2 linked regions of the Caenorhabditis elegans genome follow. The protein of the gene in region 1 interacts with the protein of each later gene in a pairwise test. Each region holds a gene or a part of one and is shown on either strand. Other genes may lie near its edges.

The links. Proteins that work in one complex are often made in the same cells at the same time.
Region 2: the proteins of knl-3 (region 1) and nova-1 interact in a two-hybrid assay, tested with the Caenorhabditis elegans proteins (one large-scale study listed by BioGRID).

What each region holds. Positions count from the first base shown.
Region 1 is NC_003283.11:1,866,690-1,871,671, forward strand, and holds knl-3 (Kinetochore NuLl), read left to right. Parts: upstream 1-2,523; 5' UTR 2,524-2,524; coding exon 2,525-3,091; intron 3,092-3,144; coding exon 3,145-3,435; intron 3,436-3,498; coding exon 3,499-3,672; 3' UTR 3,673-3,869; downstream 3,870-4,982. Other genes in the region: T10B5.3 (Small-subunit processome Utp12 domain-containing protein), read right to left, coding at 212-411, 1,112-1,350, 1,400-1,627, 1,679-1,872; T10B5.4 (aralkylamine N-acetyltransferase), read right to left, coding at 3,887-4,045, 4,327-4,441, 4,502-4,740, 4,811-4,982.
Region 2 is NC_003283.11:18,078,195-18,084,169, reverse strand, and holds the start of nova-1 (K Homology domain-containing protein), read left to right. Parts: upstream 1-2,263; 5' UTR 2,264-2,339; coding exon 2,340-2,346; intron 2,347-4,129; exon of another isoform or gene 4,130-4,214; intron 4,215-5,913; exon of another isoform or gene 5,914-5,975. Other genes in the region: fbxa-106 (F-box domain-containing protein), read left to right, coding at 699-786, 836-1,478, 1,524-1,712.

The DNA of each region.
Region 1 (4,982 bases):
AGATCAGGTGGAATTCCGGATCTCGCATCGTGCCAACTGCCGCAGTTTTTTCGAAAAAAAACGTGACAACGATGCTCCGGTATTACGCGTCACGAGTTGTTTAGCGTATTTCTTTGAGAAAAGTTGCGTTTTATTCGTTGGCACAGTGCCAAATCCGGAATTCCACCAAATCTTGAATCCGTGGTGTCTTATTCAGTGGAAAAAATCGAACCTCAGATCCAGATCCGCCACTTTCGGCACTATCTGCGTCCATTTCACTATCATCCGAATCATTATCGTCCTCGTCATCGTCATCCTGATTCTCTTCTTCATCCTCTTTCAGCTCATTATCCTCCCACCAATCGTCTTCGCTGCTCTCACCGTCATCATCCGAGCCAATTGTGTCAAAATCTTCAGAATCCGAATCAAGATCTGGAAATTGGGGAAAAATAGGTTTAAATTCTTCATAAGACCTCGGCCATTTTGAAAATTAAATTTTTTTCGGAAAATTCTACAAAAGATATATAAATTCTCTTGGTTTAACTGAAAATATCATCTTTTGTAGCTGAAAATGCCTAAAAACTGTCCGAAAGTTGCCGAAAAATCGGTCATCGGCAACTTTCAGGCAATTTTTCTGCTCTTTTTCCAATTTTTCCACTAAAAATAATGTTATTTTCAGTAAAAACAAGTGAATTTCTATGTTTTGAGACTGATTTTATTGAAAAATTTGGGAAGTACAGGCTTTTTGTAGAATTTTCCGAAAATAATTGAGAACAGGAATATTCACCTTATTATATACTAAAAACCGCGGAAAAATCTGATTTTTAATGTTTTTTTATAAAAAACCTGCAAAAATTCATTTTCCGAGCTTATCTACAAAAAATTCTATTTTGCCGCATTCTCTCGGTTTATATGAAAATAACACACTTTTCAGCAGAAATATTGGAGAAAATGCCCAAAAATTGCCTGAAAGTTGCATTTTTCTGCGTTTTTTTCCACTTTTTCCACTAAAAACAATGCTATTTTCAGATAAACCAAGTGAATTTTCACTGAAAAACGTGGGAAACACAGGCTTTTCCGCTGGAAAATATCTTGCGCGTAATTTTCCGCGAAAATCCGCTCAAAATATTACCATTATTGAACACAACCAACGGCTGCTGCACAATAACCACATTATTAGTTCGTCTCTTGATAAGATCAGCGATTGTGGATATTTTTCCGTGAAGAGCCAACAAATCTCGATGATGACCGACTCTTGAGCGCAGCCAGCCGATTAAACCGCCAATTTCCTTCTCCAAATTCGGAAGTGAGCTGAGATAAGGCATGTGAATTGAGAAGGCGATTTGAGCCCATCGGATGGTTGGACGAATGCTGGAAAATCAATAAATTAGGAGGAATTAGTACTAAAAATTCGATTTACTCTGCAGCATTCCTCGTTTTCAAGCGAGATTCGATGATTTTGAGCAATGGCAAGACCTGCATCGGCTGGAGATCACGGAGGGTAGCGTGAATAATTTCAGAATTCAAATTTCTAATGACTGAGTCGATTTTTGCACTATCATTAGCCATTATTCCCTGAGTAAGCAGAACACATTGTGATCCACCGCCGCTACCACTCGTTTTTCCCTTTTTGAGTTCAGAAGTTGGCCTGAAAATCGGAAATAATTGAATATTATCGAAAATCCACCAATAATCCTACGTGGCTGGCTCTTTTTCACGATCTCCGAGCGGTTTGTTGGCCTCTTTCTCCGATTCACTCAGTTTTTTCCCATTTCGAAGCGAACCGTTAATATGCGAATGCCCATTTACTACAGGGGACTCGATTTTCTCAGGAGTTGCAGGAGATGTAACTGCCGCCACATTTGATTTCCTGGCTTTCCGTTCTCGAGCCATTTTCTGGAAACTGCAAAAAAATATTGGAAAATTCGATTTTAAGGCCATTTTACGCACAATAATCGCAAAAAAGATACATTTCACGGTAAAAAAGCTTTAAAAACTAATAAGAACAATAAAAAATCAATAAAATACGCCTGAAAACCATGAAAAACTCTTCAAAAACGCCTGGAAATAAGGAAAATAAAGATTAAAAATTTTGCACCGCAAACGCGCAAGCGACGAGAAATGCGTCAGTGACGGGGTTGGCGCGGCAAATTAACCCCGCGAATTTTGAACGTGACCCCTTCATTCGGTGGATTTTGGGCCCAAAATTTGCGATTTTCTCTTATTTCCATTTCATTTGCGGCAGTTTTTTCCGGAAAATACACGAAACTGGCTTATTTCAACATGAAAATCCAACTTTTTTAAGCGAAAATTGTCTAAAATTGAAATAAAAATGCAGAAAACGGGTTTGTCTATCTGAAAATAATGTTTTACGGCATTTTTCGGCAAACTGCAAGCTTTTTAACAAAAATGAGTTTTATTTTCAAATAGAAAAACCCGTTTTCTATCAATTTTAGATCAAAAAAGTTGGATTTTCATATTAAAATAAGCCATTTCTTTGTTTTCAACGTTATTTTCTCATTTTTAATCACTAATTCATTTCAGAATGTCTCAAAAATCAAACGACACCACATTCTCGGTCAGAGCCGCGCTCTTCGCATCACCCGTCGGCTCATCATCAGCAGTTCCAAAGAAGAAAGTGGCTCGAGAGGTGCCACGTGCAGGGCCGCCAGTTTTTGCCCTCGAGCACGATGTTTCGGAAGTCACCGACAGAAATAAAGACGGCACCTTTCTGGCTGCAGACGCGTGCGCTAGTGGCCCTACTTTGAAGGTTCCAGACGAAACACAAGGTTGCCCAGAAACTTTCAGTGTTTCGGAACACGAAGATGACGACGACGTTGAGCCGATGGAAGTTGATGGAACCATCGTTCCGTCGCCCCAGCGAGCAACGCCGACACGTGGCGTAACTCCTTGCGAAAAATCGACGACTCCACGCAGAAGATCCTCGAGAAAGTCGATGCCAACGCCTGGGAAGCGTCTGTTCTTCACCAGCAAAGACACTACGAACGAGGATCGCAAGGCTGATGACTCGACGCAACTGGAGCTTCTGATGGCAAAGATTCCGCAGGAGATGTCGGGTTACATGAAAAAGTTGGCCACCGACATCAAAGAGGTAGTATTATCGATTTTTAACTTTACATTTAAATCTAAAATTTTCATTTTCAGATGAGCCAATACGATGCACAGCTGGCGCGGAATATCGACGACATGGAAGCGGTTTTCAAATCCCGCGAAACTAAGCTCAAGTCAGCTATTGAAATCGCCAAGGACAGCTTCATCTCGTCCGCTCTGCCTCTTCGCCTCGAGACCCTGGACATGACTCTGCGTAAAGAAGAATCGCCAAATGATATCGTTGCGAGACTTCACGGAAGTTTTCTCGACAAAACCCAGGATGCCGGAAACGTGAATACTGCACAAAAGGAGAACCAGCAGCTGGAGGATGAGCGCGGGATGCTGGTGAGAGTTTCAAATTATTTAAATATGATTTTTAAAAATAAAAATACAATATTATATTTCCAGGAAGAAAAGCTGGAGAGTCTCAACAAGATCAAGAGAGAGAAGGATGAATTTCTGGCGAAAATGCGAAAAGAGGAAGAGGAAGCGCTCGCTCGCCGGGAGGAAATCAAGCAGGGCTTCGAGCGAATCGATGCTCTAATGAGCAAAATCAAGCCGATTCCAATTTTTGAATTCTGATTTCTGATTTCTCACGCTCTGTATAATATTCTATTTCTGACACAATTGATTTCATAAATACATGTATAATATTTTATTCATAGCCTAGGTCTTGCTTATTAAGTGTCAATTTCATTACGTGTACTTTAATTATTGGTTTTGAGTATCTGAAGTTGAGATCCTAGCTGCTTTGGTCCTTTATAAATATATGTTTCTTTAATTTGAGTTGCTATCGCTATCGAAGGTCGTCCTCTTCCTCCTCATTTGCATGTTTTTCTAGCTTCTTCCCCATTAGTTTCCCGCTGACTCCACCGTCGACGAGGTTCTCGAAAACCACGTCGCCATTGTTTCGAAAACAGGAAAATGGCATTTCGCGAAGTGTTGTGAGACCACACTGGAATTTTATTAGTTTTTGAAGCTTTTAGATCGAAAATTCATCGAGGCACCACGGATTCAAGTGCCAACGCAAAGAAACGGGCCAGATCCGATATCCCACCGGTTCTAGATTTCGTGGTGCCTCAATTGGTCTTGCCACGTGGTCAAAGGTCTCGCCACGCTTCCGATGTGGTGTGTGTGCCTTTAAACACGGGTACTGTATTTTTTATAGGTTTTCTGACTTTTCGCTCTATTTTTTTCGTAAAAAGCGGAAATTTTATTGAATAAGAAACTACTATCCTTGCTGAAAATATTCTGAGAAGCCACAGCAGTTGCAACGGTTGCCACGTACTCGCAATCTTCCTTCACAGCATTTTCCAGACTCTTCTCGACGAGCTGTCTTCCGATTCCCTTCCTAAATTGAGCACAATTCCCTAGGAGAACAAGAAAAAAAAAGAAGAAAATTGCTTCCTACCCTTGACAAGCCTTCGACACGCACAGCACATCGATTTTGAAGACTTTTTTCGGATTTCCAGTCAAAAACGACAAGTCTTGCTCCAAAACCTGCACGAATGCCACCAACTTGTTGGCATTTTCGTGTTTGTACTGGCCATTTGTGATTTCTGCGTTAAAATCCCAGTGTGGATTGAATGGGGTCGATTCGGAAACAAAAGAGCATTCTTTGACGGCATTCAGGCAAACTGCCACGATTTCCTGAACACTTTTTTTTCTAGAATTTGCGGGAAGCTAGATTAAATCTGAAAAACAAAAAACAAAAACCTACTTCCCCATCAAAAACCAGAATTGAACTTTTCTCATCTTCCAACCCGCTCATCGTCAAATCAACGAAAAACTCGGCGACATCTTCTTCCGAGCAGCTCAATGAAGTTGTGATGGGCTCCATTACTCTAAAATGCTCCACCAGGAACTTGTGAACTTGGTCCTTGTGCTCCAGG
Region 2 (5,975 bases), about 16 Mb from region 1:
CAATCATCTCAAAGAAGCAAAAAATAACAAAGTCTGGATTAGTACCGTCTGATACCTTTTTCATATGTCACTTTTTGTTTTTCCCGTACGGGATCCCGTCTTTACAGTCGGCAACCGACTGAAACCGAGGCCACCAATGAATAACTCAGCTTGTGAACCCTGCCGGGAAAGTCTCATCAGTTTTCCATCAGTGTACGACAAAAAATATACCGTATTTCCTCTATTAGTCTTGCAGCTTCTATTAGTCTTGCACCCCTATTAGTATTGCACCCCTACGGACCAATCGAAAATCAGTCATGCGGACTCTATTAGTCTTGCACCCCTACGGGTCAATTGAAAATTAGTCTTGCATTCAAGACTAATAGAGGAAATACGGTAATTGGGTACGATAGGAATACGGTAGGTTTATAAGTTATGTAAGTTTCTACAAATGTAACTACTTCAGTTTCTCTGTACCAAACTTTGAAGAATTTTTTATTACTTTAAAGATCACTGAAATAGTGAGCCGTTGTCTACGAGATCAAATATGTCCGAAAATTACCATTTGGTATCGGTCCTAACAAATCAGTATTTATACCAAAGTTGTTTCTTCGTCAATATTTTGAATTTAATTTAAAAACACATATATTATTCAATTTTCAATCTCACGTGAGAGAGTGTGAGAGAAAAAGAGGAATTTTGAAATAAATGAAATTGAGAGAGGCCGTGCTCCAAGGCTCCATCGATGTCGAATTTGCCATTGGACGTCATTCATAAAATTGTGGAAAAGGTTGAACCAATCGAACGGTATAATCAGAACTAGTTTTTGGAGGATTAATTAAATTGAAAATTTCAGGCTTTCTGTCCGTAAAGTCTGCCGCAACTTTCGTGCAATCGTCGATAATAAGGATCCTGGAATCAAGCGCGTTGTACTTAACATCCATCACTCTCAATTCCAGATGTGGCTGCTTGACGCAAAATCTACTGTAATTCACTATGATTTCAGTCATTCGCATTGCACAGTAAACTACAATGATCGGAATGAGCGCTTTAAAGGAGTGAACGGCTTGAAAATGGCTGAGACAGACTTGTCAGTGGTGATGAAGAACTCGAAACTTCAATTGGAAGTCCTTGAATTCCAAGGATATGATCGTATTCAAAAGAAGGAAACATTTATGAATTGGTTCAAAGAAATGTCCGATTCAAAAAACCTCTACAAGGTAAAAAGAATCGACTTTTCCATTAATCTTCCAACTTTTGCCGCAACAATTTTTCCGCTTCTTCAACCAGGATTTCTAGAAGAAATTTGCATTTACTGCAGCGGGAATCCAGATTACGTCGATCAATTATTTGAAATGGAGCAATGGAAAAGAGCCAAGTCGATTTTTATTGATTCATATGGAGAGAAGCATTTCCCAATTGAAAATCTCTTCCATCTTACCCACTTCTTCATTGATACGGCGTATCTTTCTGTCGCTGATGCTGTTAAAATCAGAGATGTTAGTTTTTTAATGTTCCTTCAAAAAAATTGTCATTTTTTCCAGATTCTCTTGAAATCGACTGTTTTTGAGTCTGGAATCATCACTTCTAGAAATATCTTCAGCGTTGGAGTTGTGCGAGTTTTCAATCCAAATTTCATTGCTAGAAGACCTTTTCGCGTTGACTATGACAATGGCTCTCACTTCAGCCTCTTATACGATCATATTTCTATCAAAATCGAAAAGAAGAAATAAATTAAACTGTTGTTCACTCGTGTGGTTCTCATTAAAATAAACTGTTTTGTTGAAATCTGTTTTTTTTCTTGTTAAATTACAATTTTGAGACATTTTTGTATTAAATTGCAAACCTTGTTGAAAAGTGGAGATTTTCCCGAAAATTTGCTGGAAATTGTGAGAAAAACTATAAGTGAAAAATTGAAATTTATTAGATTTTTTAACTAATTTGCATGGAAATGCATGGATAACCGGTGCAAATTATACAAAACCTCAAGTATTCACGATTTTCTTTTTTTGAGAAAATGATTTTTTGTTTCAATATAGATGAAAAATTGAATTTCAACCCGGAATATTGAGAGTTTCGACGATTTTCTCTCAAGTTTCACGATTTCTAACCAATTTTTGACTCTAAAATTCAGGAAATTTCATTAAAAATCAATAATTTTGAAAACATTTTAAATTAACTTCAATTTAAAAACCGGACTACGGTACACAACTCCGCAAACACCGCACGGCGTGTTCTGTCTACCGTAGTACGGCGCAATAAAAAAAAATAAATTTTTTTCCAATTTTCGAACTTTTCACCCAATTTTCGGCGCTTTTTTGCTGATTTTCGACGAAAAACTGAAGGAATTAACAAGCGCAATGGAAGGTTCGTGCTTTTTCAACTTGAAAAAGGTAAAATTCGAAAAAAAAAATACCTCTTAGGATTCAATTTTTCCATTAATTCCGCAATTTTTCCATCCTAAATTGATATTTCTCACAGAATTGTTTGATTTGTCTTATTTTCCGGCAAAATAATGTTTGAATTCGATAAAAATCGGAAAAATTCGGCTGAAAATGGTGGAATTTACGCCAAAATCCAGATTTTTCGACTTTTCAGCAAGTTTTTGGGTAAAACTACGCCGTTTTGACGAAAATTGCAAGAAAATTGACTTAAAATTTGACTGTATAATTTATGAGTTAAAATTTAAATTCTACTGGTTTTCCGGTAAAATTGCAGTTTTTATTGTTACAAAAGTTCTAAAAAACTGAATTTTGCCTTAAAAAACCCGTTTTTCTGGAATTTTTTGCTGAAAAAATTGAAAAATTGCTTTAAATCTCGTTTTTAAATCAATTTTTCTGTCAAAATCTAACGAAATCTCTCAAATTTTCGATTGGTCTGCTAGCGTTTTTTGTAGTTTGTAGTCTAGCAGATTAAATTTCTGAGATTGGGTCTGCCAGACTACAAATTACAAAATGTATTTAGCAGACCCATCACTTTTTCGACTAAATTTTGCGTTTTCAGGTGAAATTAAGCAGATTTAAAGGAAAAAACTCAGTTTTTCACAGAAAACCGACAAAAAATATGAATTTTTCGTATTTTCAGAGTTTTTTCGGCGAAAATTGTGATTTTATGCATAATTCTCTGTGAAAATTGATTTTTTAAGTCAATTTTCGTGAATTTTCACATTAAAATGTCGAGAAAATGCACATTTTGAGATATTTCCCGCAAAAAAATCAGGAAAAAATGCTCAAAATTGGCGATTTTTACCAAGTTTTATGGTCTGCCAGACTACAAACTACACAAAATGTATTTAGCAGACCCAAAAAAAAACATTTTTCGCGAATTTTTTTGATTTTTTTCTTGCATTTTTGATCAATTAGCATTAAAATTCACTAATTTTCCTCCCCAATTCCAGAAAAACCGGTTTTTCTGGAATTTTTTGCTGAAAAAATTAAAAAATTACTTTAAATCTCGTTTTTAAATCAATTTTTCTGTCAAAATCTAACGAAATCTCTCAAATTTTCGATTGGTCTGCTAGCGTTTTTTGTAGTTTGTAGTCTAGCAGACCCGAGTGGGTCTGCTAGACTACAAACTACAAAACGTATTTGGCAGACCCATAGTTTTTTCGACTAAATGTTGCGTTTTCATGTGAAAATACGCAGATTTAGACGGAAAAAACTCGGTTTCCCATAGAAAAATATGAATTTTTCGTTTTCTTAGACGGTTTTTTGGCGAAAATTGTGATTTTACTCATATTTCTCTGTAAAAATCGATTTTTGAGTCAATTTTCGTGAATTTTCATATTCAAATTGCGAGAAAATTCAAAATTTGAATTTTTCCAGCGAAAAAATCAGGAAAACTGCCCAAAATCACAGCGAAATTGACGATTTTTACCTAGTTTTATGGTCTGCCAGACTACAAACTACACAAAATGTATTTAGCAGACCCAAAAAAAAAATTTTCGCGAATTTTTTTTATTTTTTCTTGTATTTTTGACCAATTAGCATTAAAATTCACTAATTTTCCTCCCCAATTCCAGAAAAGCCGGTTTTTCTGGAATTTTTTGAAAAAAATTTGAAAAATTGCTTTAAACCTCGTTTTTAAATCATTTTCCTCTCAAAATCTGACGAAAATCTCTCAATTTTTCGATTGGTATGCTAGCGTTTTTTGTAGTTTGTAGTCTAGCAGACCAAATTTCTGAGAGTAGGTCTGCTAGACTACAAACTACAAAATGTATTTAGCAGACCCATATTTTTTTCGACGAAATTTTGCGTTTTAGGTGAATATAAGCAGATTTAGACGGAAAAAACTCGGTTTCCCATAGAAAAATATGCATTTTTTTTAAACGGTTTTTTGGCGAAAAATTGTGATTTTATGCGTAATTCTGTGTGAAAATTGATTTTTTAAGGCAATAATCGTTAATTTTTCCTGAAAAATTCCGCGAAAATGCAAGATTTGAATTTTTTTCCCGCGAAAAAATCAGAAATCTGCTCAAAATAACAGCAAAATTGACGATTTTTACCAAGTTTTATGGTCTGCCAGACTACAAACTACAAAAATTGTATTTAGCAGACCCAAAATCCATTTTTTTTTCGCGAATTTTTGGATTTTTTCATGCATTTTTTATTAATCAGCATTAAAATTCGCTAATTTTCTCCCACATTTAGGAAAAAATCGATTTTTTTTTGCCAAATTGCCCCGCTCTCGCCGTTCTTTTTGGCCATCTGCTCTCCGAATAACACTTGGCATGCTGCCAAGTGTCCCACCAACAAATCCCATCGATTTTCGATGTTGGCGAGGGACAAAAAGTGACGACGATTAGAGAGCATTGAGAGCTGAGAGAGACGAGAGAAAACATGGAACCTCTCGTTGTCTGCCGTCTCTTCATCTCATCATTGTGTCCGTCAACTGACTCATTTCTTCGTATTTACGCGCTCTTTTTTCGAAGGAGGACGCGTTCCGTTTTTTTTTTTGGTTTCGTACAAATTTTTGGTTTTTTACGCGATTTTCTCGAAATTGCGTGTGAAAATTTGCAAAAAATTCGATTTTTCGTTTCAAAATCGAGCTTTCCTTCTAAATTATCAAATATAATCGTAAAATCGGTTTTTCTCTACGATTTTTCTTCAAAAGCTGAATTTTTTGCTGAAAAGTGGGTTGAAAATCACGAAAATTGCAAATTTTAACGCTGATCAATAAAAAATGCAAGAAAAATGGATTCTGGGTCTGCTAAATACATTTTGTGTAGTATGTAGTCTGGCAGACCATAAAACTTGGTAAAAATCGCCAGTTTTGCTGTAATTTTGAGCAGTTTTCCTGATGATTTTTTCGCGGGAATAATGCAAACATTTGCATTTTCTCGGAATTTTTAAGGAAAAATGCACGAAAATTGACTCACAAAATCAATTTTCACAGAGAATTTTGCATAAAATCACAATTTTCGCCAAAATACCATCTGAAAATCCGAAAGTTTACACATGTTTAGTTTTTTACACGATTTTCTCGGAGTTTTGTGCGAAAATTTGCAAAAAATACGAATTTTTCGTTCAAAAATCGAGCTTTCCTTCTAAATTATCAAATATAATCGTAAAATCGGTTTTTCTCTACGGTTTTCCTTTAAAAACTGCAAGTTTTGCTGAAAAATCCGTTGAAAACTGCGAAATTTAACTCTAGAGCGTGTAGTTTGTAGTCTAGCAGACCCAAATCGAGCGCATGGGTCTGCCAGACTACAAACTACATTTTCAATCGATTTTTCCGGATTTTTAGGTTTTAAATGTGATTTTCTCGGTGTTTCTTGTTGAAATTCGTGAATTTTCGGGAAAATTTCCTGAAAAGTCAGAATTTTTGCCGGGAAAAGCGAGTGTGCACTCTAAAAATTCAATTAAAACTCAGATTCCCCAATTTTCGCAAAAAAGGAGTTTTTTCTTTAGAGAAACTGCAAATTCCCCTCAAAATCCCTTCAAAAGTACGAAAATTAGCTCTACAGCGTGTAGTTTGTAGTCTAGCAGACCCAAATC